Linked DNA regions of Ovis aries. The protein of the gene in region 1 purifies or fractionates together with the protein of each later gene. This does not show direct contact. Links are inferred from orthologs where the notes say so. Each region holds a gene or a part of one and is shown in the gene's direction. Other genes may lie near its edges. The genes, in order: SF3A2, U2AF2, PLRG1, DDX42, SART1, SNRPB2 and DNAJC8.

Region 1 (3,104 bases):
GTTCTTCTGGCTGCTTATGAAGGAACTGGCTGTCCCCAAACTGACTGGAACTCTTGGCTCTGTTAGTGTTTTGCCTTTACCAGTTGATGGCTCTGGGTGGCCTTGTGTGTAGTAAAAGAGTTAGGCCTGGTGATTCTGCAGCCAGCTAGGTCACCCTACTGGTCACCCGACGTGAGGTTTTCATAAACTCATCAAGTTGTAGGGCAAGTTAGTGGCACAGCTGGCTGGTACAGGAAATCACCAGTGGCTTCCATGACATGAGTTTGCGCTGCATCTATGTGGTCAGAAACTCAGCACTAGTCTCACTGGGCTTTGTTCCCTCTGGAGGCTTCAGGGGAGCACCAGCTCCTGCTGAAAGACATGTGCTTTCCAGCTTCTGGAGGCACTGCATCCCTGGCTCACAGCCAGCAGAGCAGCATCTCCTGTATCTGCCTCTGACCCTCCCCCTCCCTCTTATAAGGACCCTATAATGACACTTGGCCCCCCCAGGGAATCCAGGGTCGTATCCATCTCAGGGACCTAACTTAATCCCACCTGCAAAGTCCCCTCTTCTGCGTGAGGTGACGTGTCCAGACACCCCAGGGAGCAGGACAGGTACATCTTTGGGGGTTCACACTCTTGGGCCCCATCTCTGTGAGCTTACCCTAACAGAGTCAAGATACTGTGGGTTTAAACCAGGGGCCTGGGGCCAGCTTTGACAGTAAAGAGAGTGTAGGATGAGAGGAAGGTACCCGAGGCTGGATCTGAACTGCACCTGGAGCAGTATGGGGAACAGTAGGAAATAGCAGTTGGATAGCTTGATGGGCATGGAGGAGAATCCAGGGCCTGGAAGAGTTGCCTCAGCTGCAAACGAGCTGTGACTGTCTCGTGTGTTAGGCAGTGGGGGTCGGGGGCAGGCAGGTAGACGGATGTGTTCCTTGTTCCAGCAAATGTACTGCTGAATCAGAGAAGTAGAGTTTAGGTTGCGGGAAGGAAGTGTAGACGAGCAGAAAAGAGATTCAGAGAAGGGGGTGAATGGTGTGGGCCTGGGCAGTTTGGGAAGGCTGCTTAGAGGAGATGGGACTAATTAGTGAGAACTCAGCCTCCTCTTCTCTGTTGTTGTTTCGGGTCCCTGGGTCTTTGCACTCCTCAGTCAAAGAGACCTTCCTCTCCGGTCCACCCCTACTGTCACCTGGAGATGCCTCGTTTCTCCTGTTTCTCCTTCCTCATCCCTGTGTGCCTGGCCCAGCATGGGCCCTCAGCCATTGGGAGACAGGTGGTGAAGCCAGGGCTGGGGCGGTGAGAGTGGGGAGAGGTGAGGCCAGGCCAGGAGGGTGAGATCTCACATGTAGTCTCACCAGCTGCCCCTTGGCCTCCGCAGGTTTCTCCCCTGGTCTGACAGAGTGCCCAGGGTCTCACCATGGACTTCCAGCATCGCCCCGGGGGCAAGACCGGGAGCGGGGGTGTGGCCTCCTCCTCTGAGAGCAACCGGGACCGCCGGGAGCGCCTGCGACAGCTGGCCCTAGAAACCATTGACATCAATAAGGTGTGCGCCCACCTGCCCACCCTAAAGCAGCAGCTCAGCGCCCTCCAGACCATGGTCTCCCCAGGCCTGGGGTTGGCCTGCCTGCTTCTCTCCTCTGCCCGCGCCCAGCTTGTACTGCAGCACGAGGAGCCCTGTCCCGGCTGGGGAGTTGGAGGATCAGCAGTGCACCTTCGGCTCTGCCTCTTCCTAGATCCCAGGCCACCACTAATGTGGGGCTGGGGGCTTTCAAGGGAGCCCTCTCCGGGGCTTGCTGCAGAGGCGGGCGGTCAGCCCCAGCCCTAACCCCGTGCAGTGGACCCTGTGGGATCCCAGGGGCGGTGGTGCTGGCTTGGGGCTCCAGCTTGTCCTCCATCCCTGAGCGTCTCCCCCACTGCCTGACACATGTGTTTCTTCTGCAGGACCCCTACTTCATGAAGAACCATCTGGGCTCCTATGAGTGCAAGCTGTGCCTGACGCTACATAACAATGAGGTGCGTTTTTCCCAGGGAGGTACTGGCTTTAGAGCCCCGCTGTGCCATCTCCGCCCTGCACGGCACTGGGACAGCCACCGTGGGGTCCCTACCTCCATCTGTCAGTTTCCTGTAACATCAGTGGCTCCGACATCACAGATGTGCATCTGTACATGTGGGGATGTCCAGGATGTCCACGTGGGGCGAGAGGTCTGGAAGGCATGGCTTCTAGTTTGAGTCTTTAAGCAAGTGTCAGTCGGATGCTTGCTTGCATTGGGTTCCTGTCCTTCGCCATAAGCAGGTCCTCTCTGTCCTTTCCTGTGTAAGGAGGGCGCACTTTCTGTCCAGATGGTTCGCAGCTCCAGACAGCTGCACTGAGCTGAATAGTCTCGTATGGGAGCATCTCCCAGCGGTTTTGAGGCTCCCCCTTCTCTTTGGGGGACCATCCTGGACATAGAGTCCCTGGAGGTCAGAAAAGCCTCCAGTTGGAAACTGCTGATACACATGTTTTCTTCTTGGGACATTATTGAGGTGGAATCAAAGGGCATGTTTATTCCAGGTGTCCCCACCACTGCCCAGCAATATCCACTGGCCCCACCCACATCCTGGCAGCCACAAGACTGCTGTGTCCCCCCGACCCGAGACTCTCATCTCTGGCTTTTGAGCATCTCGTCCCCCTGTGTGCAGATCCACGAGAGCTCATGTGTTCAGTAGCCACCGGGTGCCCGTCAGCACTGAGCCCTGTGGATGGAGGCGGGCCCGGGTGGGACACCGGGCACCACTCCCTCACTGTGCCCTCAATTGCATGTTCCTCTCATGTTCCAGGGGAGTTACCTCGCGCACACCCAGGGGAAGAAACATCAGACCAACTTGTAAGTACCTGGCACCCCTTCCCATGCCTGCTGTCCCCCTCACCTCACATCTCCAAGGTCGGCCGGGGATGGGCGCTCCTGGCGCCTGGGGCTGTGGCCTTGATGGCCTGTGAGGAGGGGCCTCAACACTGTGTCCGTCCCACCTGCAGGGCCCGGCGAGCAGCCAAGGAGGCCAAGGAGGCCCCCGCCCAGCCAGCACCGGAGAAGGTCAAGGTAGAAGTGAAGAAGTTTGTGAAGATCGGCCGCCCAGGCTACAAA
Region 2 (3,500 bases), on another chromosome or scaffold:
GGTCAGTGCACGCGCCAGAGCCCATGTGGACGCCCACGTGCCCGTGGAGCTCCTCCTCGGGCCTGACGGGCGGCTGTCCCTGCTCTCCTGTCTCGGGGCTTCCGCTGACCCCTGGCTTGAAGCAGGTCTCCCTGCCGTGGTCAGTGCCGTCTGGGTAGGTGGACAGCGAAGCAGACCTGGGTGGCCAGAGGCTGCTCTCTGATGGGCCAGAGAGTTGCTGTGCTTTGCAGCACATTGTCTCTGGTGGAGCTCCTCGGTCACTCTGGCCCGAATGCTCACAGATGCTGGCGTCGGGGGCCCTGTCACACTCATGGTATAAAAGGCCCTTCTGGAAAGTCCTCAGACCGGGCAGGAGCAGCACATGGCTGCACCGGACCTGCAGGCTATGCCGAGGGTGGGCCTGTGTTGGGGGCATCCCCGCCCCCGGGGGTTGAGAGCACGGGTTGTCCTAGCTGAGGTTCACACCGAAGGGCGCGCTTTGGAAGCAGTCCTTGTGCTTATGAAGCCAGGGGTGCGGGGCCCAACGAGGGCGGCCCTTGGGGACCACCTGGCTCCTCTCTGGTCCCTGCTGAGCGTGTGGGGGAGGCCAGCAGTCTCTGGAGCTTGTGGGAGGCCCTGACCTGCTGATTTGCCGTGTTTTCTGTGCACGTGTGTCTGGGGGATCAGGCCACAGGATGTGCTTCGGTGCCTCCTGGTGACCCAAATGCGTCCTAACCATCCTGTTGATGCAGGCTGGCCCAAGCCTGCCATGCCAGGCACCATCTGGGGGTTCCCTGTGGGTGCGGTGGTGTCGTGACTGTCCTGTAGTACAGGGTTAGAGCTGGTGCCTCACCCCTGTACGCAGGCCTGCCTGTCATCCTTCCCTTGTGGGAGCCTGGCTCTCACTGTGGCGGGTCTCCTCTCCTAGTATTTGCCTCCAGTCTCCATGGAGGGCTGGGGCTCCAGCCACAGTGACTGGGGAGTGTGCTTCCTGGGCTGTGGAGGGGGTAGGAAGCCAGATGCTGCATGTGGGTGAAGCATTCTCAAACCAGAGAAGTTTCTCTGTAATGACGAGTTTTTTTTTTTTATTTAATTTTCGCCGTGCGAGTCTTTGTTGCTGCTTGAGGACTCTCCTTAGTTGCGATGCTTCTTGTGGCAGTGGCTTCTCGTGTGGGGCTTGAGGGCGCTTGGGCTTCAGTTGTGTTCTGTGGGCTTAGTTGCCCCGAGGCAAGTGGGATCTTCCCGGGCCAGGGATCGAACCCTTGTCTCCTGAGTTGGTGGGTGGATTCTTAACTACTGGACCAACTACTGGACCACCAGGCAAATCCTAAACACAATATTTTGATTTTCCTTTCTACTCCAACGAAGAAGTCGAGTTCACAGATTATTGAAGGGGTGAAAGTGATAGTCCCTTAGTCCTGTCTGACTCTTTGCGACCCTGTGGACTGTAGCCCGCCAGGCTTCTTTGTCTGTGGGATTCTCCAGGCAAGAATACTGGTGTGAGTTGCCATTCGCTTCTGCAGAGGATATTCATGAGCCAGGGATCAAACCCAGGTCTCTTGTATTGCAAGCAGATTTTTGACCACTGAGCCACCTGGAAAGCCCCAGGGAGACGCACTTAGTAAAATTCAACAGATGCTTTTGGTTGGAGAAGAAACAGTTCAGGACCCTGGATGGAAGGGGCACGGCCTGTGGCCGTGCACCTGTGTGGCCCGGTGGTGTCTGCAGGCCAGGCCAGTAGCTGGGCAGCTAGGGCTCCTGCTGAGGCGGTGGCGATGCTGCGGGGCCTAGGGAGGCTTCAGAGCCCATGGGGGCTCTGGGCACCCACGCCAGCCCAGAGCCTCTGTCTGCATCGCTCGATCTGGCGTGGGCCCTCCTGGCAGCCTCAGCACGGCAGGCTGGTGGTGGCTGGGACGCGGCCTGCCCTTCCCCGTGCTGGGCCGCCTGGAGTTCGGCGGCCTGTTGTTCTCATCCGCCCCCGCTTCCCCCACCAAGAGCCTTGCTCCGGGCGGAACGCTGCCCCTCTGGTCCTCCGGGCTACCGGCGCTGGGTCGAAGAGGTGGGCCAGGCCAGGTGGCTGGCCGCAGTGGGCCCTGAAAGCAGTCAGGAGCAGGCCACGGTGTGGGCCCCGGGGGCTGGAGGACAGCGCTGCAGAGCCTGGTGGGCTGGGGGGCGGGGGCGCTCAGCAGGGGGTGTGGCCAGTGGGTGCCTGGTAGTCCTGAGGCCTGCTCTGTTGAGGGGCCCCCACCGGACGTAGCTCAGTGCTCGGGGTGGGCACAGCCCAGCCTCACGTACATAGAACACTGGGCCCGAGGTCCCACGGGACCTGGCCCAGAGGCATGGGGGTGGGCAGGCCCGGGGAGTTGAGGCCCCTGGGGAGCCCTGGTTAGGGGGTGGGGGGGCAGGAGCTCTGAGCTGGGGCCCGAGGGGGAGGGGAGGCCGTGGTTTGCGACCCTCCCTGGGGGCTGAGAGCTCCCCCAGCTTGGGGCGAGTGTGGTTGCTGACCTGGCCCATCGTGCGGCTGTGCCCGCTGGTGTCGGGTGTCGTGAGGAGGGGGCTGGCAGCCAGGCGGGCCCCCCTGGAGACAGCCCCCAGGTCCCCGTCATGACCGTGCCAGGAATCGCAACCTGTCTGCTCTACTCCCCTCCCCCCAGGAGTCGTGTCCACCGTGGTCCCGGACTCTGCGCACAAGCTGTTCATCGGGGGCTTACCCAACTACCTGAATGACGACCAGGTAGGCCTCTGCCTGCCCCGAAAACTGATGGCACCGTGGCCCGACCCCCGGCCCCCACCCCCTGCCCCGCCCTGCAACCTGACTGTGCCCCGGCCCACGCAGGTGAAAGAGCTGCTGACGTCGTTTGGGCCGCTCAAGGCCTTCAACCTGGTCAAGGACAGCGCCACCGGACTCTCCAAGGGCTACGCCTTCTGTGAGTACGTGGACATCAACGTCACGGATCAGGTGAGCCCGGCCCCAGCGCGCCCGGCCCTGCTGGGGTCTCCCCTCAGGGCGGGGCGCGGGGCTTGCAGCTCTTCCCCCTTTGCCGTGCCCTGTCTGCCACGCAGCCTGCTCTGACCCCGACCACCTCTCCCTGCCCCGGCCCCTCCCCCGCCCCACCACAGGCCATCGCGGGGCTGAATGGGATGCAGCTGGGAGATAAGAAGCTGCTGGTCCAGAGGGCGAGTGTGGGCGCCAAGAATGCCACGCTGGTGAGCCCCCTGGCACGTCATCTTCCATTGGCTCGGGGCACTGGGGGCGGGGAGGGGCTGGGTGCTGGCGGGTCCCCCCACACCGGGGTTGGGCACCCCGTGACCCCTGCCTCCACCCCTCCACAGAGCACCATCAACCAGACCCCTGTGACCTTGCAAGTGCCCGGCCTGATGAGCTCGCAGGTGCAGATGGGCGGGCACCCGACAGAGGTGCTGTGCCTGATGAACATGGTGCTGCCTGAGGAGCTGCTGGACGATGAGGAGTATGAGGAGATCGTGGAGGATGTGCGAGATGAGTGCGGCAAGTATGGGCT
Region 3 (4,039 bases), on another chromosome or scaffold:
CTCCAGGGGATCTTCCTGACTCATGGATTGACCCAAATCTCCTTTATCACAGGCAGATTCTTTTACCGTGTGACCCACCAGGGAAATGCCCTTAAAGCCAAACTTACACTCAAACTCAGAGATGACTGTATTTTCAAATACATGTATGATCTTAACGTTTATAATTAATTAAAAATTAATTTCTAAATGAGATGAACAACTCACATTGCTATACTTTGATAGATTTTTCTCCCTGTTAAAGCGGGGTGCTCTGGTGAAAAGATCTGCAGAAAGTGACTATGGTTAAAGAACAGGAGAGCCAGTAAAACGTTCGCCTATTCAAATTTGCAAATATCCAGTTCCATCAATTTTTCTTCTTACCTAGTAATATAGGTACAACAATCACAAACTGCAGTCTACCTGGGTATAAAACAAAATGCCCATCTTTTGGCACCAGTCTGTATATATTAATACATAAAAATGCCTTGTCTTCAGTTGTGGTTTTTTTCTACCAACTTTGGCCAACTGTACTCTGGCATTGTTGAAGCCACATTTATCACTGGACAACTAGCAAACAAGAGTTATGCCAAGAGTTTTGAGAGATTAAAATTTTTAAAAACCTGTATTAGTGGAAAATAAAGGAAATGGCCAAGAATTCTGAGAGACTTAAAAAAAAAAACAACTATGGAAAATAAATTTGAGATGTTGCCACATGCTATTAAAACCAAAATCTTTTGCAAAATTTCTCAAATTGAAACTGTTCCAACAAGTGCTTAATGGACAGCATAAGTGGAATTGTTTCTGGGCGCCAAGAATACAAAGACGTCTAAAGGCTTTCAGCCGAACTGAGTGAAATAGCGCAATCTGGCCACGTATATCACGGAGGCGCCCCCTCAAAGAAGGCAAGAGCGTGTAAGAGCCTTCCCGCGCTCTCCGGAAGTTCCCTAGAACTGTTGGTTTGTCTGAAGAAATCGTTTTACCATTCCAGAGAACAAAGGGCAAGCAACCACAACCGTAAACCAAAGTATTTAAGGCTGTGAGTAAGAAAACGTTTCTGTGAGCAGAAAACGTTACTATCTCAAGATTTCTGCAAGAGCAAGTGAAACACGCCCTCACGCGACTCCAGCATCTTCCGCTTTGCCGTCCAGAAGCTCCTCCCCAGAGGCGGCCGGGGAAGAGCCCGTTGCTTCACCTCGGAAGGCCTGCGAGCGCCTCGTGCGCCTGCGCGGGGCCCTGCGTCACATCCGGGCCAGGAAGCGCAATTCCGGAAGGGGCTGAGCAGTCGTGGCGGCGGTTTCTGTCCTGTCTGTTGAGTAGTGCTTCTTCCCTGCTGGAGCGCCTGTATAGACGGCGGAGCCATGGTCGAGGTAAAGTGACACTTGGGTGCTCAGGGGCCGTCTGCTTCTGGATTGTTTTTCTTTGGCCGCGGGCGTGGGCGATCGAGGGTTTGGGAGTGTGGGAACTGGAGAGAGTAGTGGCTGCGAAGGGAGGCTGTTTGGCCGAGACCGGGTGGTCTCGTAAGGTTTTCTGGAGGAAGAGAAACCAGAGTTGTGAAGTGAAGCGAAAGTCGCTCAGTCGTGTCCGACTCTTTGCGACCCCATGGACTATACAGTCCATGGAATTCTCCAGGCCAGAATGCTGAAGTGGGTAGCCTTTCCCTTCTCCAAGAGGATCTTCCCAACCCAGGGATCGAACCCAGGTCTCCCGCATTGCGGGTGGATTCTGTACCAGCTGAGCCAAAGGGAAGCCCAGGGAATACTGGCGTGGGTAGGAGTGGGTAGCCTTTCCCTTCTCCAGCAGATCTTCCCGACTCAGGAATCGAGCCGGGGTCTCCTGCATTGCAGGCGGGTTTTTTGTTTGTTTGTTTGTTTGTTTTACCAACTGAGCTGTGAGGGAAGGCCTTCCAGGCGGGAAGCCTGAGGCAATTACTCCAGTTTTCACGCGGTCCTTGGGTACGGAGTTCGTCACGGAGGCGGGGCATTTATTGAACATCGATGTTTGACCACAGGTACTCGCCGTCTGCTCGGTAGTCAGTGACTCTATGTCCTCACTGGTGGTCTCCTCTCATCTCACTTTGTCTCCTATTTAAGCTCTTTTCCGGGAAAACCTGCCATTCTTGAATTTTTGCATTTCCCCCTAACTATCATTCTGTTAGCAAGCTCTGTTCATCTCATCTCAGAATTCTGGGCTCTTTGTCTAGGCCCACTGTCCTCACCTGAATTCAGACCGCATCATCTTCCACCAGCTGATGCATTTGCTTTTAGGTGGTCGGTCTTTTTGCTTCCGCGTTTGTCATCCCTCTCCCTTCCGCACCAAATTGATCTGTTTAAAACCTAAGTTGATCCAGCTTTTCTTGCATGAGACTTTAGTGGCCCTATGTAAAACTAGAGCAAAAATGCACACTGCTGCAGTGGTATAAAAAACAACTTACTGGGACCTGGTCTGTCCTTACAACCTCATCTTCCATCATGAGCCCTCCTTTTCGCCTAACATATACTATGTTCTACGGCTTCTGTACTGTACATTATGTACTACAGCTCCTGGCAGTATTTCAGTTACAGAACGCTTTTGTATATGGCTTTTTCTCCTTGTCTCGATTTTTTTTTTTTTTTTTTGATTGATTGATTTTTTTCAGTTTCGCTGGGTCTTCGTTCCTGCTCTTGGGCTTTCTGCAGTTGCAAGGAAGGAGGGGCTACTCTTCATTGCGGTGCGGGACATTCTCATCGCGGTAGCTTCTCTTTGCCGAGCACAGACTCGAGGCGCATGGGCTCCTGTAGTTGTGGCGCAGGGACTTTAGTTGTTCTGTGGCCTGTGGATTCTTCCCCGACCAGGAATGGAACCTGTGTCCCCGCACTGGCAGACAGATTCTGATCTGCTGTACCACCGGAGAAGTCCTGCCTGGATTGTTCTTACCTCTATTTTGTGCAAGACTGATTCCTTCTCTGCTTAGCTGCCACCTCAGAGAGATCTTCCATAACCAGCCTAAGGTCTTGCTCTGTTCTGTCTCAGTCCCCTGCTTGTTTCCTTCATAGCAATTATTAAAATTGCTTACCCTATTTTTATCTGTTTCCTCTTGAGCACAGGGAGGTGGCTGCCTTTTCATTATTCCTTTGTTAGTTTCTAGCACAGTACCTGGCACTCATTTAATGGGAACTCATTGTTTATTGAACATATGACTGATTTCAGGCATCATTCAGTTGGTATACTTGGGGCTGTGGCCCAAGAGAAGCTTCCTCCTCTTCTCTGAACTTGTCTCCTATAGCTTGTTATAAATAGCTGTGGTGAGTGGTACAAAGTTTTACATATTTAAAGGTGTAAAGTTTATAATTAATTTGCTTCAGTTTAGATTATGATGTATGTAATTTGTAGCTAGGTATGTAATTACACTCTTTCTTTTTAGGAGGTGCAGAAGCATTCTGTACACACGCTTGTGTTCAGGTCATTGAAGAGAACCCATGACATGTTTGTGGCTGATAATGGAAAACCTGTGCCTTTGGATGAAGAGAGGTAGGGATAGTTCCCTTTCAATTGCTAGAATGTTTCAACTTTTAATAATGGGGGAAGAGAGCAGGGAGAGGGGAACCTTTAAAAATTAGTGAGTCATACTAACTCTTAGGAGATCTATTAGTAATGAATGATGTTTTGGCATAATTTAAGCTGATTTAACTTTTCTTTTTGGCTTTTTACAGAAAAATTCCTATTAATTAATTGCATTTTACAAATACCCAGTAATTAGGAGAGTCCCTTTTAGGTGTTATATTTTATAATCAATCACTTTGTATGTGCTTTCAGCTTCCTGCTGCTCTCAGAGCCTTGCTGAGCTGAAATTGTACCTGGCCAGTACCTCTACTCCCATCTTTTCTCGTTAGTATGATGAAGATTCTTGAGTGGTGGCATATTTTTGGTTCTACATCTCCAGCTCCAGTCTGAGATTGCATTATGTGCAGTGTTCCTTCTTTGTCCTTTACCCTTCTTTTAAAATCTACCTAATTCCTCAAACAAGCATTTATAATTAATTAACAAAGTGGGCTGTCCTTAAAAGTAGCATAGTACTTGCATT
Region 4 (4,006 bases), on another chromosome or scaffold:
TCTGTCTGTCAAACCAGCTGGGTCTAATCTCTCCCCAACGCGGAGAATTAGTTCTCTGCTCCATTATTCTTGCTGCCCGCTCCAACTTTGCTCTGCGGGTTGGCATTTGCTCAGAGTTCTGGAAGTTGCCCAAAACCGTTAAAGCCATCCCGAAGAGAACTCCCAACAGAAAACAGGGATTTGGGGTGGACAAAGTTTGGTATGTTCTTAAGAAAATCGGGAAAGGCGAGAAGGCGCGAGGATCGAAGCATGTCACCTAAAGGCTGGACTTAGGGGCTGGACTGGGAACAGGGACCCGGGTAGGCCACGCAACTCAGCGTCACCGCTCGGCCCGGCCAGGCCCCACCGACCAGCGCGTCACGGCCCGCGCCCTACCTGCACTGGGGGCTAGAACCCGGCCCGCTGCTCCTGCGGCCGCCGCCTCTATCCCGCTAGCCTCTGGTCCCGGCCACCGCCTGCAGGGTCAACGCGACTTCACTGCCCCGACGCCTCTAGGACACAGCCTGACCAGGCAGCTCAGTCACGCCGCGCCACTCTTCACGTAGCCTCCGCCAGCCGTTACGTAGAATGCGTGAGGCCTGCCCGCGCCTGCGCGCGGCACGGGGCCGGGACACAGCCCTGGGGACTGCGCGAAACCGCCTGCTCCCCCCCAAGATGAGGCGAGGTGGGGCGGCCGGGAGAATTACATAAGCACCGCCCCTGGGCCGGAGCTGCCGGCGCCTATCCCAGTGCTCTCCGCTAGGGTTCAGTCTAGTTGTCATCACGCTGAACCCCTGCTCCGGAAGTTAAAAGTCACCATGCTCTACAAGACCACGTGTCCAGGGGCACGGGGAGAAATGTCGCCCAGGTCGTATTTGCTAAGGAGCAGAGTTTAGGGAATCGGCAATTTCATGTGCATGTGTTTTCCAATCGAGCCCCTTTTGGGGGATTTTTTTTTGGCGGCTCCCTGCCACTACTACTTTTCTTCACTCCCAGACCCACTCCCTATACGGGCCATGAACACTCCTCACTCAGAAGCAATGGCTGTAAGAGTCTGAGGGGTCTGTGCGGTATCCGGGAGCCTTAAGGCCCAGAGCCCGCGGCGCCTTCCGGGAGCCGTAGACCAGGCTCCGCCCTTCGCCCGCGCTTTCCGCACTGCGCATGTCCGGTTTTGTTCCCCTCCCCCCTCCGTCAGCAACGGGCCAAGAGGCGGTGGCGGCGGCGCCGGCGGCGGCGGCAGCGAAGGGGGCGGAGAGGGAGGAGCGCGGCGGGACGGGGCCTGGACCGCGCGTACTTCGGGCCGTGAGGTTCTCTCCGAGTCAGCGGTAGCAACAGCTGCCTCTGCAGCCACAGCAGCAGGTTTGCGTGAGGTGGGTCTGGACGCGGGGCCGTAACCCCTTGGGGGCACCACAGGCAACTGCGGGGCCTAGTGAGGGCCAGGGAACCGCGGCCTCTCTTAACAAAGAGTCGGCGGAGCTTCCAGGAAGCCGAGGCGCAGGGGCCCGGGGAGGGGTAGGAGTGCGGGACTGAAGACTCGAGGAGCCTTTCGAAGCCTCGTCGCCCTCCTACGGCTCCCGCTTCTCCCACAACTCTTAATGAGGCCCAGTTGGCGGCTTTACGGAGGCGGCGATCGCCCGTCCGGGAAGCGATTTGCAGGGTGCTGGGCTCCGGGAGGCATAGGCACGGGGAGGATTCTGACCCGAGCCAGCAGCAGTTAACAGATGCTAGTTTCCAGATCGGGGGACCTTCCAGGCCAAAGTTGCCAAATCTGAAGACAGTGAAAGGCATAGTCTGTGATCTTTGTGTAGCTTTGAGTGTATCTGTGACTAGCATCAGCCTCCTCACAAAACTTTTCTGCTGCCTGCTAAAGAGCCTTTCTGATGTGGGTAAATAATTTATATGGAGTTGCAAGCTTAGGGCACCAATAATATAAGGAAGAAAGATCATACTTGTCGAGACTTCGGGGGAATCGTAGCTTTCTTATCACCTTAGCGGAAGCTTTGCCCCCTCACCCCTTTGGGCGGTCATTCAGATTCCTCTGGCTTCCCATACATTTTGGTTTTTTGTGAATGATCTTTGTATATATCTATTTTCTGTATACACACCACCGAACTCCTAAAGAGCAGAGATTCTGTTTTAATTCGCTTTAACTTTCCAGAGCCAAGCCCAGTGGAAGGTCTTTCATACCAAAATTCATGTTGAGACTTTAAGTGGTTAAGGAAAAAAAATGTATGTTGTATTTTCCTGTACCCAGAAGAGACATACTCTGGCCTAATATGCAGTTCATTCACCCAAGAAATATTTTTGTTGATAACTTCTGTGTGCCTGTTCCCTACCTGTGTGCTTGATTTGTGACCCGACCCTCCTGAAACATTGTAGTGAGGGGAAGAGAGAAAACAAATATGTAAATTATACTGTAAGTTAGAAGATGATTAATGCCTTAGGTGAAAAAAAAAAAATAAAGCTGAAGAGAGGAATGGGGAGATGTTGCATTTTTAAACAGCATGGTCAGGGAAGTGTTTACAGACAAGCTGATGTTTAAGCAGACTAGATAAGGAGGTGAGGGAGTGAGCCCAGCTAGTTTCTGGAAGAATGATCCTTCCAGGCAGAGGAACCAGCAAGTATAAAGACCTTGAAGAGGACAATGCTGGCTTGTTAGAGGAACAGTTAGAAGACCAGCATGCTTGGAGTACTGTGAGCAAAAGGAGGAATTATTAGGAGATAAGGTCAGGGAGGGGAACAAGGCGTTGCAGGGAGCACCAGACAACCAGGACCTTTTAGGCTGTTGTGAAGATTTCATTTTTATTCTGCCTGAGATGGAAACTGAGAGTTTTGAGCAGGGGAATGGTAAAATCTGACTTACACTGTTAATAATTTAGTGCAGTTTGTGGAAGAGTACAGTTCTTTATGTTTTAGTTTTTATCACATCTTTATGTAATCAGCTCTTAGTTTCTTTAAGCCAGCAGAGGGAAAAGAGATGCTTCCAAAACAAGTGTAATCTAGCATTTACTTATTTTGGCTTTAGAAGAATGTGTTGGAATTCTTGGGTTTTGTACAAATTCTTGGTAAAGAGTCAGATTTATAGTGTGTGAGTTATTCTCAAGGCAGATTGTTAGATAGAGTAGACGGTGATCAACTGTCACTAGAAATCTTTCTCGTACTCCAAAAACACAATGATAACGAAAAAGTAACATTTTATAATCATTAGTTTTTAGTCCACTATTCTTAAAGTCATTTGGATCTTATTTTCCACTATTTCTCAAAACATAAACTAGCCAAATTATCTTCCTTGTGTTCCTACACTTATTCTAATTTCCTAGACTTTGCTGTTTCTAGCTTTCCTCCTTGCATCATGCTTCTCTACTCAGCTTATATCTTTCTGTGTTAAAAAAAAAAAAAAAAACAACTTAATCTTCTGGGTTCTAGCTCTCTTTTGAAGCCTGTCCCCATTTGTCAACTTGTAGTGATCTCTGACATCTTCAGTGTCATGTGGCACCAAGGTATGGAATCTCTAAGTCGAAAGAAACTTGAGAAGTCTTAACTTGATATTCTGCATTAACCAATGGAGAGATTGATTTCTGGAAAGAAAAAAAAAAATGATAAAACATGACAGCTAGTACGCATTGTGCACCATTTGCCAAGCTTTGTTCCAGGTGTATTTTTGTGTGTGAATTCAGTTTTTCACACCAACCCTATGAAGTAGGTGATAGTCTCACCATCTTATAGATGAGGAAAGTAAGGCCAGAGAAGCTGAATAACTTCCATGAAGTTCGCATCAAGTTAGCTGGCAAAGCCAGTGTTTAAACGTAGGCAGCTTGGCTCCACGGTCTGTGCTGCTTTACTGTGCTGTTAAGATTTTCTACTAAATCACATTTTAGTGCCTAAAACAGTACCAAGCAGGTATTGATACTTTATGCTGTCTTTAATTTTTCTGGTTGGCCAAGTTGTGAATCTCCCTAGGTCTCCTATACGTTGAGTAAACATGAATGATGAGTGTATTCTCTGGAAAACAGAAGAGGAAAAAAAA
Region 5 (3,500 bases), on another chromosome or scaffold:
TCCTGTGTGGGTGCTGGCTGTGGCCTTGGGGTTTCCTTGCTGCTGTGATGGGGTTTGGGATTCGGCTGCTTGTTTAAGCTTGAGCAATTGACGTGGCAGCCTCAGTATGGCTGCGAGGTAGCGTTAAAGGGACCAAGAGATGTGCACAGTGCTGCACACTCATCTGCGCTGTGCACGTGTTGGGTTTTTTTTGTTTCAGTTTGGTTTTTTAAAGTATGACCAGAGGGGCTTTGGAAGGCATGGAGGGTCCCCTCTTCTTGGGGGGGATGTGGGAATGTGGGGTTGCCGGGGATCAGGAGGCAGAGGATTCTTCCCTTGCTTCTGGCTTCTCTGGCCCCCTGAGTGGGACGGGGCAGCGTGAGTGGCTCCCTCCTTTCCCCACCAGCCTTGGGCAGGCATAGCCTCACGCCTGGGCCTCCCTTCCAGAGGCGGGCACCAAGGAGGAGCCCGTGACAGCCGATGTCATCAACCCCATGGCCTTGCGACAGCGAGAGGAGCTGCGAGAGAAACTGGCAGCTGCCAAAGAAAAGCGCATCCTGAACCAAAAACTGGGGTGAGGGTCCCCGCCAGGTGGGCTCAGGCAGAGTCTGAGGAGGCACCCCGGAGATCTGGAATCGGGGTCGGGGGAGCAGGAGCTGGTTCTCCAGAGGATCTTTCTGCTCTGTCTTCAGGAAGATTAAGACCCTGGGGGAGGATGACCCCTGGCTGGACGACACCGCGGCCTGGATCGAGAGGAGCCGGCAGCTTCAGAAGGAGAAGGACTTGGCAGAGAAGAGGGTGAGGTGCTGGGAGTCACCCAGTGCCTCTGGTGGCCTGATGGCTGGGGGGCCACAGACGGGCCATGGGGACGTGAGGTGGGGGCTCAGAGCAGTGGGAGGCCTGTGCTCAGTGGCGCCTGCGTTGGCTTCTCAGCAGCTTGCTTGTTTAGGTCTGTGCTTTTTGCATCCCCACTTAGTAAGGCCCCACATCTTCCGGTGATCCAGAACAGCTTGAGGTCATAGGTCACCGCCCCATCCCTGTCCCGTAGGCCAAGCTGCTGGAGGAGATGGACCAGGAGTTTGGTGTCAGCACCCTGGTGGAGGAAGAGTTCGAGCAGAGGCGGCAGGTGAGGCTGCGGCAGCTGCAGGGAGCGGCCGGGGAGGCTGCTGTCCCAGGTGCTGGGATCCCTGGGCGGCGTCCAGACTGGGCTGCGCTTTCTGCCCTGTCTCTAGGACCTGTACAGCGCCCGGGACCTGCAGGGCCTCACCGTGGAGCATGCCATCGACTCCTTCCGTGAGGGGGAGACGGTAATCCTCACCCTCAAGGACAAAGGTGGGTTGCGCTGGGCAGTCTGGCTGGGGGCCCAGGCCCTGTGGGTGGAGGAGTGTGACCGGCTGCCACCTTCTCCACTCCGTCTGCAGGAGTGCTGCAGGAGGAGGAGGACGTGCTGGTGAACGTGAACCTGCTGGACAAGGAGCGGGCGGAGAAAAACGTGGAGCTGCGCAAGAAGAAGCCCGACTACCTGCCGTACGTGGAGGACGAGAGCGTGGACGACTTGGCCCAGGCAGGCCGGCAGCGTGGGCACCGGGCAGCGGGTGTTGGCAGCAGGCGGGTGGTTTGGGAGGAGATGGTAGCTCTGTGGCTATTCAGGAGCCAGACTGCATTCCAATCTGTCCTTCTTGCCTTGCAGCACAAACCTCGCTCTATCCTGTCCAAGTACGACGAGGAACTCGAAGGCGAGCGGCCGCAGTCCTTCCGACTGGAGCAGGGCGGCGTGGCTGATGGCCTCCGGGAGCGGGAGCTAGAGGAGATCCGTGCCAAGCTGCGGCTGCAGGCCCAGTCCCTGAGCACGGTTGGACCACGACTTGCCTCTGAGTACCTCACACCAGAGGAGATGGTGAGTCCTGAGGTCTTCGTCCAGACCTGCCCCTCCCTCTCCTCAGGGGCCACAGGCTGCCAGAAGGCACTAGAAGGGGGATCGGGTAATCGCATGGTACTTGGTCCCTGTGGATGAGCAGTAACCGGCAGCCCCGAGGAGGCAGCCGGTGTAGACAGAACAAGGACTGTGAGCCAGGTGCCCCTGAGCTGGTGGGCAGGCCCTGCCACATCTCCAGCCTATGCCTGGGGTGTCATTTAACTGTGAGCCTGAGGCTCCTCCTCTGAAATGGGGGTGGCAGGAGCCCCCTCACGGGGACTGTTCCAAGGGCTGGTGGTGGTCTGGTAAGCGGTTGTTTTGTAGGGTGTCACCTTTGGGCTGCTGTGTGGACACGCAGGTAGACCTCTGGCTCAGTAGGTTGCTTGCCTCTGTGGTTGAGAGCAAGACTCTGGAACCAGTCTCGGGGGATTTCACTGTCCTGGCTCTCCTGCTTAGGAGCTGGTGACTTTGCACAAGATACTTAATCTCTTGCTGCCTTAGTTGTCCTCATCTCACAGATGGGATGATGGTTACTCACGTCTCACTCACGTGTGTGAACTGCTGCATAGCAGCAAGCAGTGTCCACTCCTGTGGGCTTGTGCCGCCTGCCTCCGCCTGCCCTCAAGTCTCTCCTCTCTCCTCCTTTCAGGTGACCTTTAAAAAGACCAAGCGGAGGGTGAAGAAGATCCGTAAGAAGGAGAAGGAGGTGATCATGCGGGCCGATGACCTGCTGCCGCTTGGGGACCAGACTCAGGATGGGGACTTCGGTTCCAGGTGGGCTGGGAGACAGCTGGGTGTGGGGGCTGGGCCGGCCCTGGGGCCAGCCTCACAGAGAAGCCTCTGCCCGCAGACTGCGGGGCCGGGGGCGGCGCCGGGTGCCTGAGGCGGACGAGGAGCCCCAGGAGGAGGGGGAGAAGGAGCCCGTGCCTCAGCCGCCACCGTCAGATGACACCCGCGTGGAGAACATGGACATCAGTGATGAGGGTGAGGGCCCGGCCTGTGGGGTGCGGGACCCGAAGAGCCAGGCGGTGGTCTGAGCGGGTGTCTCCTGTGTCTCCCCCAGAGGAGGGCGCTGTGCCGCAGTCTGGGTCCCCAGAGGTGCTGGAGGAGGACGAGGCGGAGCTGGAGCTGCAGAAGCAGCTGGAGAAGGGGCGCCGCCTGCGGCAGCTGCAGCAGCTGCGGGACAGCGGCGAGAAGGTGAGGGGGCTCCGGGGATTGGGCGCGGGCGGGCGCTGGGGCCCACGTGACAGGTGCGTCTGTAGCCACTTGTCCTCGGGGGCACGCGGTCCCACGCCGTCACAGGCGGTCTCCGTGTTCTGGTCTGCACCCTCTCTGTGTTCCACGTCGTGTTACTGGTGGGTTTCTAGGTTCCTGCCGTGCTTTCACTGTGGGATGCTTTAGCGCTTCGTTGTTTGCATTTTCTTTCCTTCTGGGCTGTGTGTTGCCTCGCTATGAGTGAGGCGTCATCCTAGGGCTGGGAAGTCCCTGGGGGAAAGGACAGCCAAGGGCTCCTCTGATTTTCATGGGGCAGAAATGGCAGTGACTTGTGAACACGAGCAAGCTGAGTGGTCTCTGCTGGTGGCAGCTGTGCAGACAACACAGGAGC
Region 6 (4,072 bases), on another chromosome or scaffold:
ATTTCATGGCAAACATTTGGAGGAACAATGGAAACAGTGAGAGACTATTTTCTTGGGCTCTAAAATCACTGCCTATGGTGACTGAAGCAGTGGAATTAAAAGACGCTTGCTCCTTGAAGAAAAGCTATGACCAACCTAGACAGGATATTAAAAGCAGAGACATTACTTTGCCAACAAAGGTCCATCTAGTCAAATTATGGTTTTTTCAGTAGTCACATATGGATGCGAGGGTTGGACCATAAAGAAGGCTGAGCACTGAAGAATTGATGCTTTTGAACTGTGTTGTTGGAGAAGACACTTGAAAGTCCCCTGGACTGCAAGGAGATCCAACCAGTCAATCTTAAAGGGCATCAATCCTGAATATCCATTGGAAGGACTGATGCTGAAGCTGAAGTTCCAATACAGTGGTCACCTGATGTGAAGTACTGATTCATTAGGAAAGACCCTGATGCTGGGAAAGATTGAAGGCAGGAGGAGAAGGGGATGACAGAGGATGAGATGGTTGGATGGCATCACCAACTCAATGGACATGAGTTTGAGCAAGCTCCAGGAGATGCTGCAGGACAGGGAAGGCTGGTGTGCTGCAGTCCATGGGGCTGCAAAGAGTCGGACACGACTGAGTGGCTTAACAACAAAAAGGCTACTGTGAGTGTTCTGAGCACCTTTGTGATAGGTCTGGATTAAATGTGTGATGCTGGGTAAGTTAGGTGTTATTACATGTGTTCTCAGTTGCATCTTACAGTGCTTTCAACTTACTGATGTGTTTGTCCTGTCTAGTCGTGTCCAACTGGACCATCCCATGGAGTGCAGGCCACCATGCTCCTCTGTCCACGGGATTTCACAGGCAAGAATACCGGGGTGGGTTGTCATGCCCTCTCCTCCAGGGAATCTTCCCAACCCAGGGATCGAACCCAGGTTTCCCGCATTGCAGGCTGATTCTTTACCGTCTGAACCACTAGGGAAGCCCACAGATGTGTTTATCAGGATGTTCTAGGTTAAACAGCGCTAACTCATGGTGACGGAACTGATCACCGTCTGTCCTTATACTCTTACTGCGCTCCCCCAGAATTCGAGTTAAACCCACAGAATTCCCCCAGGCCTATTTCCCTTACCGCGTTTCCCCTTCACACCTGTTCTCCCCATCCACCAGGTGTGCGCATGCTCAGAGCGATTACTTACTGTGGTCTAGACCGACGGACATCGATCCACTCTGGGCTCGGCTTCTTGACTGATCGGCTTTCGATTGAGGTGCGTGGTAGCGTCATTTCCGGTGGCTGGTTCCGCTTCCGGGTTCTGGCTTGTGGTTGTTACGGGACGTAGAGGACCTGTTCGGTGAGTTGGCGGGGTTTTTTTCTTCGCTCTCTCCTCTCTTCTGGCTGCGGGTTGCGGCTTAGGCAGACCTTCCCCTGCGGGAGCCGAGAATAAGCGGTCCGCTGCGCTGGGGCCGGAATATATGCAGCCGAGGGTGCGTGGTGGGTCGCCGAGGAAGGCCTGGAAACTGACGCTCGGGTCTGGCGAGGCCCCTGGACTTAGAGCTTGTCTTAGGCGGGACACTTTGGGGCCGGGCATGGCGTGGCCGCTTCCTGGGGCTTCGGGCGGAGCCCGTGGGCGGACGTCGCTGCGTCTGGAGAGCCGGCACCCTCGCGCGTGTGAAGTTACGGAAAACCTTCGCGTATGCGAGGCGATTACCGCGCGCCGTGCGTTCTCAGGGACCTCCCAGAGGCTCCCCTTTTGAATCCGGAAGGCGACTCCCTGCGCCCCTGCTCAGTTTGATCCCTGTCACTTCCTTCTCTTCATCGTCTTCGAGTCACCAATCCACCAAGATTCAGTTTAGGGGTCTCAAACCTCTGAGAGGCGTTCAGTTCAGTTCAGTCGCTCAGTCGTGTCCGACTCTTTGCGACTCCATGAATCGCAGCACGCCAGGCCTCCCTGTTCATCACCATCTCCCAGAGTTCACTCAGACTCACGTCCATCGAGTCCTTGATGCCATCCAGCCATCTCATTCTCGGTCGTCCCCTTCTCCTCCTGCCCCCTATCCCTCCCAGCATCAGAGTCTTTTCCAGTGAGTCAACTCGTCTCATGAGGTGGCCAAAGTACTGGAGTTTCAGCTTTAGCACCATTCCTTCCAAAGAAATCCCAGGGCTGATCTCCTTCAGAATGGACTGGTTGGATCTCCTTGCAGTCCAAGGGACTCTCAAGTGTCTTCTCCAACACCACAGTTCAAAAGCATCAATTCTTCGGCTCTCAGCCTTCTTCACAGTCCAACTCTCACATCCATACATGACCACTGGAAAAACCATAGCCTTGACTAGACGGACCTTAGTTGGCAAAGTAATGTCTCTGCTTTTGAATATGCTGTCTAGGTGGGTCATAACTTTTCTTCCAAGGAGTAAGTGTCTTGTAATTTCATGGCTGCAGTCACCATCTGCAGTGATTTTGGAGCCCCCAAAAATAAAGTCTGACACTGTTGCCACTGTTTCCCCATCTATTTGCCATGAAGTGATGGGACTGGATGCCATGATCTTCATTTTCTGAATGTTGAGCTTTAGGCCAACTTTTTCACTCTCCTCTTTCACTTTCATCAAGAGGCTTTTTAGTTCCTCTTCACTTTCTGCCATAAGGGTGGTGTCATCTGCATATCTGAGGTGATTGATATTTCTCCTGGCAATCTTGATTCCAGCTTGTGTTTCTTCCAGTCCAGCGTTTCTCATGATGTACTCTGCATAGAAGTTAAATAAGCAGGGTGACAATATACAGCCTTGACGTACTCCTTTTCCTATTTGGAACCAGTCTGTTGTTCCATGTCCAGTTCTAACCGTTGCTTCCTGACCTGCATACAGATTTCTCAACAGGCAGGTCAGGTGGTCTGGTATTCCCATCTCTTTCAGAATTTTCCACAGTTGATTGTGATCCACACAGTCAAAGGCTTTGGCATAGTCAATAAAGCAGAAATTGATGTTTTTCTGAAACTCTCTTGCTTTTTCCATGATCCAGTGGATGTTGGCAATTTGATCTCTGGTTCCTCTGCCTTTTCTAAAACCAGCTTGAACATCAGGGAGTTCATGGTTCACGTATTGCTGAAGCCTGGCTTGGAGAATTTTGAGCGTTATTTTACTAGCATGTGAGATCAGTGCAATTGTGCGGTAGTTGGAGCATTCTTTGGCATTGCCTTTCTTTGGGATTGCGTTACCTTTCACCTGTTAACCTACAGAACAGTCCTCATCTGTAGGCGTTTTGCTTGTCAGACATCCTACGCTATGCAAGTACTATGAGTGTAAATGTTTGTGAAATGAAGGTATATGTGGGTTATCAGGGAATAAAGCAAGGTCCCAGTTCGTGACTAAAGAGTGGGAAAAATGAAATAGTGTGGTGGGTGTGAAATAAAAGTGCAAGAGACAGAAAACGAGGGTTGAATTTTCAGGCCTCCTGCGTATCACCTATGTAACCGTGGGAAAGAACTTGCATTAACTTTTTGTTTCGTCGCCAAATCATGTTCCACTCTTTGCGACCCATGGACTGTATTCCGCCAGGCTCCTCTATCCATGGGATTTCCCAGGCAAGAATACTGGAGTGGGTTGCCATTTCCTTCAGGGGATCTGCGTGACCCATGGTTCGGGCCCGCGTCTCCTGCGTTGACAGGCCGATGCTTTACCACTGAGCCACCTGGGAATCTGTGCTTTATTCTGTGATAAACAGCAGTGACAGCTGTTGTAAGTGCTTACTGCTCATTCTAAAGCTGCAAAGAATTTTATCTCATTTAGTCTTCTGAGCTCTATTGGGCAAATCACCATCCCCATTTTACAGATATGAACCTGTGAAATTAAGGAACTTGCCATCAGTCAAGCAGCTAGTAAGAAGCATAGAAAGATTTGAATTCAAATCCACTGGCACTAGATCCTAAGTTTTTAACCATCATGCTGTACTATACCAGCGTTTCAAGTCGGTTCCATTTGACTTTGGAATCAGGACTGTTGGTGATGGTGTGTGTAAATTAAGCAATAATATGGAAGTGCTTTATGAGAGTACCCATGCAAGGATTCTTAGCCAATTTCATTAATGTTCTGTATCTTAT
Region 7 (4,067 bases), on another chromosome or scaffold:
GTGAGGATGTGGATAAATTGTAACCCTCCTACATTGCTAGTGGGATTGTAAAATGGTTCAGCCACTTCGAAAAACAGCTTGGCAGTTGCTCAAAAGGTTAAGTATAGAATTATCATATGACTCGCAATTTCAGGGAGAAGGCAATGGCACCCCACTCCAGTACTCTTGCCTGGAATATCCCATGGGCGGAGGAGCCTGGTGGGCTGCAGTCCATGGGGTCGCTAAGGGGCGGCGGACACGACTGAGCGACTTCACTTTCACGCATTCAAGAAGGAAATGGCAACCCACTCCAGTGTTCTTGCCTGGAGAATCCCAGGGATGGGGCAGCCTGGTGGGCTGCCGTCTATGGGGTTGCACAGAGCCGGACACTACTGAAGCGACTTAGCAGCAGCAGCAGCAGCAGCAGCAGCAATTTCAATTCTAGGTACATACCTCCCCCCAGTAGAAAACTGGTACTCACACCTTCATAGCAGAACCATTTTACAATAGCCAAAAGATAGAAACAACCCAAATGTCCATCAACTGATGTGAATAATGTCATCAATTAGTGAATAAACTAATTGTGGTATACACGTATGATGGAATACTATTCAGCCGTAAAAGTGATGAAGTAATGGTGTGTGCTATATTTTGAAAGAACCAGGGAAACATGCTAAGTGAAAAAAGCCAGACACAAAAGGTCACATGTTGTATGACTGCATTTACATGAAACATCCAGCATAAGTAAGTCCATAGAGACATTGGCAAGTATGGGAAGAAACTGCTTATTAGGTACTAAGTGTCCGTTTGGGGCGATGCAACTGTTTTGAAACTAGACAGGTGGTGATTACACAATACTGGGAATATACTAAAGACCACTGAATTGTTCACTTTAAAATGGTTAACTGTATGGCATCTGTGCATGCGTGCTAAATCACTTCAGTCTCCGACTCTCTGCGACCATATGGGCTGTAGCCTCAGTCGTGTTGTACTCTTCGTAACTGTAGGCCGCCAGGCTCTTCTGTCCATGGGATTCTCCAGGCAAGCATGCTGGAGTGGGTTGCCAGGCCTTCCTCCAGAGGATCTTCTCAACCCAGGGATCGAACCCCTGTCTCATTATGTCTCCTGCTGCTGGTGGATTCTTTACCACTATCGCCACCTGGGGAACCCCAATTTAAAAGTTTATTTAAAGGTACCTGGCTGGGCGGCGACCCCTTTAAGAGACGCAAGGAAAGGGCCGGGGTTAGAGAGGCGGGCCTGTAAGAATCACGTGAGGTGGCGCCTGCGCAGAAGAGTCACGTGGTCGCTGGGCCGGGGAAATGGCGGCTCCAGGAGAGAGCGGGGCTTCGGGTGGAGGAGGCAGCACGGAGGAAGCATTTATGACCTTCTACAGTGAGGTAAACACGGAGTGAGGAATGGCGGCACCGGGGCGACCCCGCCCGGGGCTATCCTCCCAGTGGGAGAAGGCAGTGATCCTCCTGGCCTGGACCGTTGGGCGGCCCCTCCTGTCTGGCCTTTTGGGAGGTGGGGGACTCGGGGTGTGTGTGCGTCTCCTTCTGATACTGCAGGGGGGATCCCCTGGAAAACTAAAAGGGGGCGGGGGTCTGACGTCTGAGGGGAGGCGTCGAGTTTGGCCAACGAAGTGCTTGGGCGCGCGCAGAGTTCCCCAAGTTCGCGTAGTCGGATGCTTTCTGCGGCTGGGAAAGTGGGTCTGCCTAAGGCTGGTTAAACGGGTTACCGGTCCCCGATTGTATTCAAAACGGAAGCACTCTCTCCTCTTAGTCCTCTGTAGTGAGTTTTAGTAGTAGTTATTTCTGACATTCGAGAACGCTAGGCATTGTGCATCATGCCTTGTAGGCACTGTCTCCATTTTACAGATGACATACCTGAGGTTTAGGGAGGTGAAATAATTTGTTCAGGGTCTTAGAGCAGATGATAGTTTGGTATCATGTTAGGACCGAAGTAAGTTTGGTTTGAGCCTCATTTACTGTCGCATCTCCATCGGGTGCTGCGCAGTAGTTACTCAGTGAATATTTGTTGAGTGGATGAATGAATGAGTGGATGAATGAATAAAGAAAAGGATGGCTCTTGGAGTCATAGGACCTCGGGTTGGATTTTTGCATGGCTGTTAACGTGACTGTGACAATTCTTTCAAGCCATTGATTTTGCTAATCAATTTTCACGTTTGTAGAACGAAGTTTTTTATTAAAACGAGTTTTAATGAGCGTTAAAAGAAAGTTTCATAAAATATAAAGAAGAAGCTACTTTGTAAAAGTTAAAAACAAGGCTGGATGTGAACTTCTTTAGCTTGGTGTGGATTTGAGGAATGGAGTTGCTCGCCACCTGGCTGTGATGTATTCAGAGTTAAGCACCGTGTTACATTCACCTTTTATCTCTGGTATTTGTAACAGTGCTTGCTACATAGTTGGGTTTCCCTAGTGGCTCAGACGGGGAAGGCAGTGGCACCCCACTCCAGTACTCTTCCCTGGAAAATCCCATGGGCGGAGGAGCCTGGTGGGCTGCAGTCTATGGGGTCGCTAAGAGTCGGACACGACTGAGTGACTTCACTCTCGCTTTTCACTTTCCTGCATTGGAGAAGGAAATGGCAACCCACTCCAGTGTTCTTGCCTGGAGAATCCCAGGGACGGGGGAGCCTGGTGGGCTGCCGTCTGTGGGGTTGCACAGAGTCGGACACGACTGAAGCGACTTAGCAGCAGTGGCTCAGACTGTAAAGAGTCTTACTGCAGTGCGGGAGACCCGGGTTCCATCCCTGAGTCGGGAAGATCTGGAGAAGGAAGTGGCAACCCACTCCAGTATTCTTGCTCGGAAAATCCCATGGATGGAGGAGCCTGGCAGGCTACACCATGGAGTCCGACAGGACTGAGCGACTTCACTTTTGTTACATAGTAGTTTCTCCGAAATAATACATTTTAAAACAACATAGTACATCCATTTATAGTCTACTTTCAAAATGTCTCATTCACTTTGAAGTGTTAATTTGCTGGTACCAGTGTTTTCTGGTGGCTCAGATGGTAAAGAATCTGCCCAGAATCTGCTGGTTATATGGAAGACCGGGGTTTGAACCCTGGGCGGGGACGGTTCCCTGGAGAAGAGAACGGCTTCTCTCCAATATTCTTGCCTGAAAAATTCCATGGACAGAGGAGCTTGGCGGGCTACAGTGTGTGGGATTGCAAAGAGTCAGACACGACTGAGTGACTAACAATAATGGGTACTGAACAATTATAGGGGAACTTGTTTTAATTTCTTAGTTTTTTTTTTTTAAAGCAGTCCTGGTTTGTTTAAATTTTAATGTCAATTTCATTTGTGAGCTGTATTGCACAGATGACTTTTTTTTTTTTTTTTTTTTTGTGGGACGGAATATTTTCTCCTGGGGGCAATGACTTATGACTGTTTTGCGGTAGTTTGCGCTCGTCTTAGCTACTCGTGGTTATGAACAGAACGGTTTTCATGAAATGAGTTACATGCTCATGGGCTATGGGTTTCATATTAGGTACTGTACAAACATCATGGGTGTCTGATTTTCCCTTTTGTGGCCCCATTGAAATGAGCCATATCTCTTAGGAAACTCCAGCAGTGCTAGAGCTTGCCCTGCAGACACCTTTTTTTTTTAAATCTACATATTCACTGGCATGGTTTGTTTAATGAGAGAAAATGTCTAAAGGAGGATCATTTAATCATCATTCAACTAATGTTTATTGAGCACCTGATATGCACTTCGTCCTGTATTGTTTAGCTCCTTGGAGAAATGGTAGTTGACAGCAGAAAGAAGAATCCCGTCTTCATAGGGCTTTCATCTTACAGAGAAGGCTGAATAATGAACAGATGTATAATATAGTGTTAGGTAGTGCTAAGTGCTATGAGGAAAAATGAGACTGGGAAAAAGAGAGTACGGTCGAAGGTGGGGAGTGGCGTGCTGTTTTACAAGAGTTAAGAGGGAAGGTGCTGAGAAGGAGTAGCTTTTCCTGTTATTGAAATCCTTTCCAACTCTGTTTTGGCCATAGAAATAAAGATAGTATATATACTATGCCAGAGGTTCATTCCAACTAAAATTTCAGTTCTGACAGTGG

The links.
Region 2: the proteins of SF3A2 (region 1) and U2AF2 purify together in Homo sapiens (affinity purification with mass spectrometry; 3 studies listed by BioGRID and IntAct, with this or other methods). This does not show direct contact. The link is inferred for Ovis aries from reciprocal best matches to the Homo sapiens genes SF3A2 and U2AF2.
Region 3: the proteins of SF3A2 (region 1) and PLRG1 purify together in Homo sapiens (affinity purification with mass spectrometry; 3 studies listed by BioGRID and IntAct, with this or other methods). This does not show direct contact. The link is inferred for Ovis aries from reciprocal best matches to the Homo sapiens genes SF3A2 and PLRG1.
Region 4: the proteins of SF3A2 (region 1) and DDX42 purify together in Homo sapiens (affinity purification with mass spectrometry; 3 studies listed by BioGRID and IntAct, with this or other methods). This does not show direct contact. The link is inferred for Ovis aries from reciprocal best matches to the Homo sapiens genes SF3A2 and DDX42.
Region 5: the proteins of SF3A2 (region 1) and SART1 purify together in Homo sapiens (affinity purification with mass spectrometry; 3 studies listed by BioGRID and IntAct, with this or other methods). This does not show direct contact. The link is inferred for Ovis aries from reciprocal best matches to the Homo sapiens genes SF3A2 and SART1.
Region 6: the proteins of SF3A2 (region 1) and SNRPB2 purify together in Homo sapiens (affinity purification with mass spectrometry; 6 studies listed by BioGRID and IntAct, with this or other methods). This does not show direct contact. The link is inferred for Ovis aries from reciprocal best matches to the Homo sapiens genes SF3A2 and SNRPB2.
Region 7: the proteins of SF3A2 (region 1) and DNAJC8 purify together in Homo sapiens (affinity purification with mass spectrometry; 3 studies listed by BioGRID and IntAct, with this or other methods). This does not show direct contact. The link is inferred for Ovis aries from reciprocal best matches to the Homo sapiens genes SF3A2 and DNAJC8.

The regions. Positions count from the first base shown.
Region 1 is NC_056058.1:19,186,462-19,189,565, forward strand, and holds part of SF3A2 (splicing factor 3A subunit 2), read left to right. Parts: intron 1-1,360; 5' UTR 1,361-1,399; coding exon 1,400-1,525; intron 1,526-1,923; coding exon 1,924-1,995; intron 1,996-2,799; coding exon 2,800-2,846; intron 2,847-2,995; coding exon 2,996-3,104. UniProt on the Homo sapiens protein: Component of the 17S U2 SnRNP complex of the spliceosome, a large ribonucleoprotein complex that removes introns from transcribed pre-mRNAs.
Region 2 is NC_056067.1:62,662,731-62,666,230, reverse strand, and holds part of U2AF2 (splicing factor U2AF 65 kDa subunit), read left to right. Parts: intron 1-2,633; coding exon 2,634-2,713; intron 2,714-2,815; coding exon 2,816-2,938; intron 2,939-3,099; coding exon 3,100-3,198; intron 3,199-3,312; coding exon 3,313-3,500. UniProt on the Homo sapiens protein: Plays a role in pre-mRNA splicing and 3'-end processing. By recruiting PRPF19 and the PRP19C/Prp19 complex/NTC/Nineteen complex to the RNA polymerase II C-terminal domain (CTD), and thereby pre-mRNA, may couple transcription to splicing.
Region 3 is NC_056070.1:3,068,819-3,072,857, forward strand, and holds the start of PLRG1 (pleiotropic regulator 1), read left to right. Parts: upstream 1-1,239; 5' UTR 1,240-1,337; coding exon 1,338-1,346; intron 1,347-3,377; exon of another isoform or gene 3,378-3,379; coding exon 3,380-3,486; intron 3,487-3,771; exon of another isoform or gene 3,772-3,843; intron 3,844-4,039. UniProt on the Homo sapiens protein: Involved in pre-mRNA splicing as component of the spliceosome. Component of the PRP19-CDC5L complex that forms an integral part of the spliceosome and is required for activating pre-mRNA splicing.
Region 4 is NC_056064.1:47,759,555-47,763,560, forward strand, and holds the start of DDX42 (ATP-dependent RNA helicase DDX42), read left to right. Parts: upstream 1-1,206; 5' UTR 1,207-1,349; intron 1,350-4,006. UniProt on the Homo sapiens protein: ATP-dependent RNA helicase that binds to partially double-stranded RNAs (dsRNAs) in order to unwind RNA secondary structures. Unwinding is promoted in the presence of single-strand binding proteins.
Region 5 is NC_056074.1:40,499,806-40,503,305, forward strand, and holds part of SART1 (U4/U6.U5 tri-snRNP-associated protein 1), read left to right. Parts: intron 1-385; exon of another isoform or gene 386-426; coding exon 427-553; intron 554-671; coding exon 672-777; intron 778-1,027; coding exon 1,028-1,105; intron 1,106-1,211; coding exon 1,212-1,311; intron 1,312-1,400; coding exon 1,401-1,543; intron 1,544-1,669; coding exon 1,670-1,876; intron 1,877-2,543; coding exon 2,544-2,668; intron 2,669-2,744; coding exon 2,745-2,878; intron 2,879-2,957; coding exon 2,958-3,091; intron 3,092-3,500. UniProt on the Homo sapiens protein: Plays a role in mRNA splicing as a component of the U4/U6-U5 tri-snRNP, one of the building blocks of the spliceosome. May also bind to DNA.
Region 6 is NC_056066.1:10,387,102-10,391,173, forward strand, and holds the start of SNRPB2 (U2 small nuclear ribonucleoprotein B''), read left to right. Parts: upstream 1-1,272; 5' UTR 1,273-3,710; intron 3,711-4,072. UniProt on the Homo sapiens protein: Involved in pre-mRNA splicing as component of the spliceosome. Associated with sn-RNP U2, where it contributes to the binding of stem loop IV of U2 snRNA.
Region 7 is NC_056055.1:238,878,598-238,882,664, forward strand, and holds the start of DNAJC8 (dnaJ homolog subfamily C member 8), read left to right. Parts: upstream 1-1,267; 5' UTR 1,268-1,298; coding exon 1,299-1,376; intron 1,377-4,067. UniProt on the Homo sapiens protein: Suppresses polyglutamine (polyQ) aggregation of ATXN3 in neuronal cells.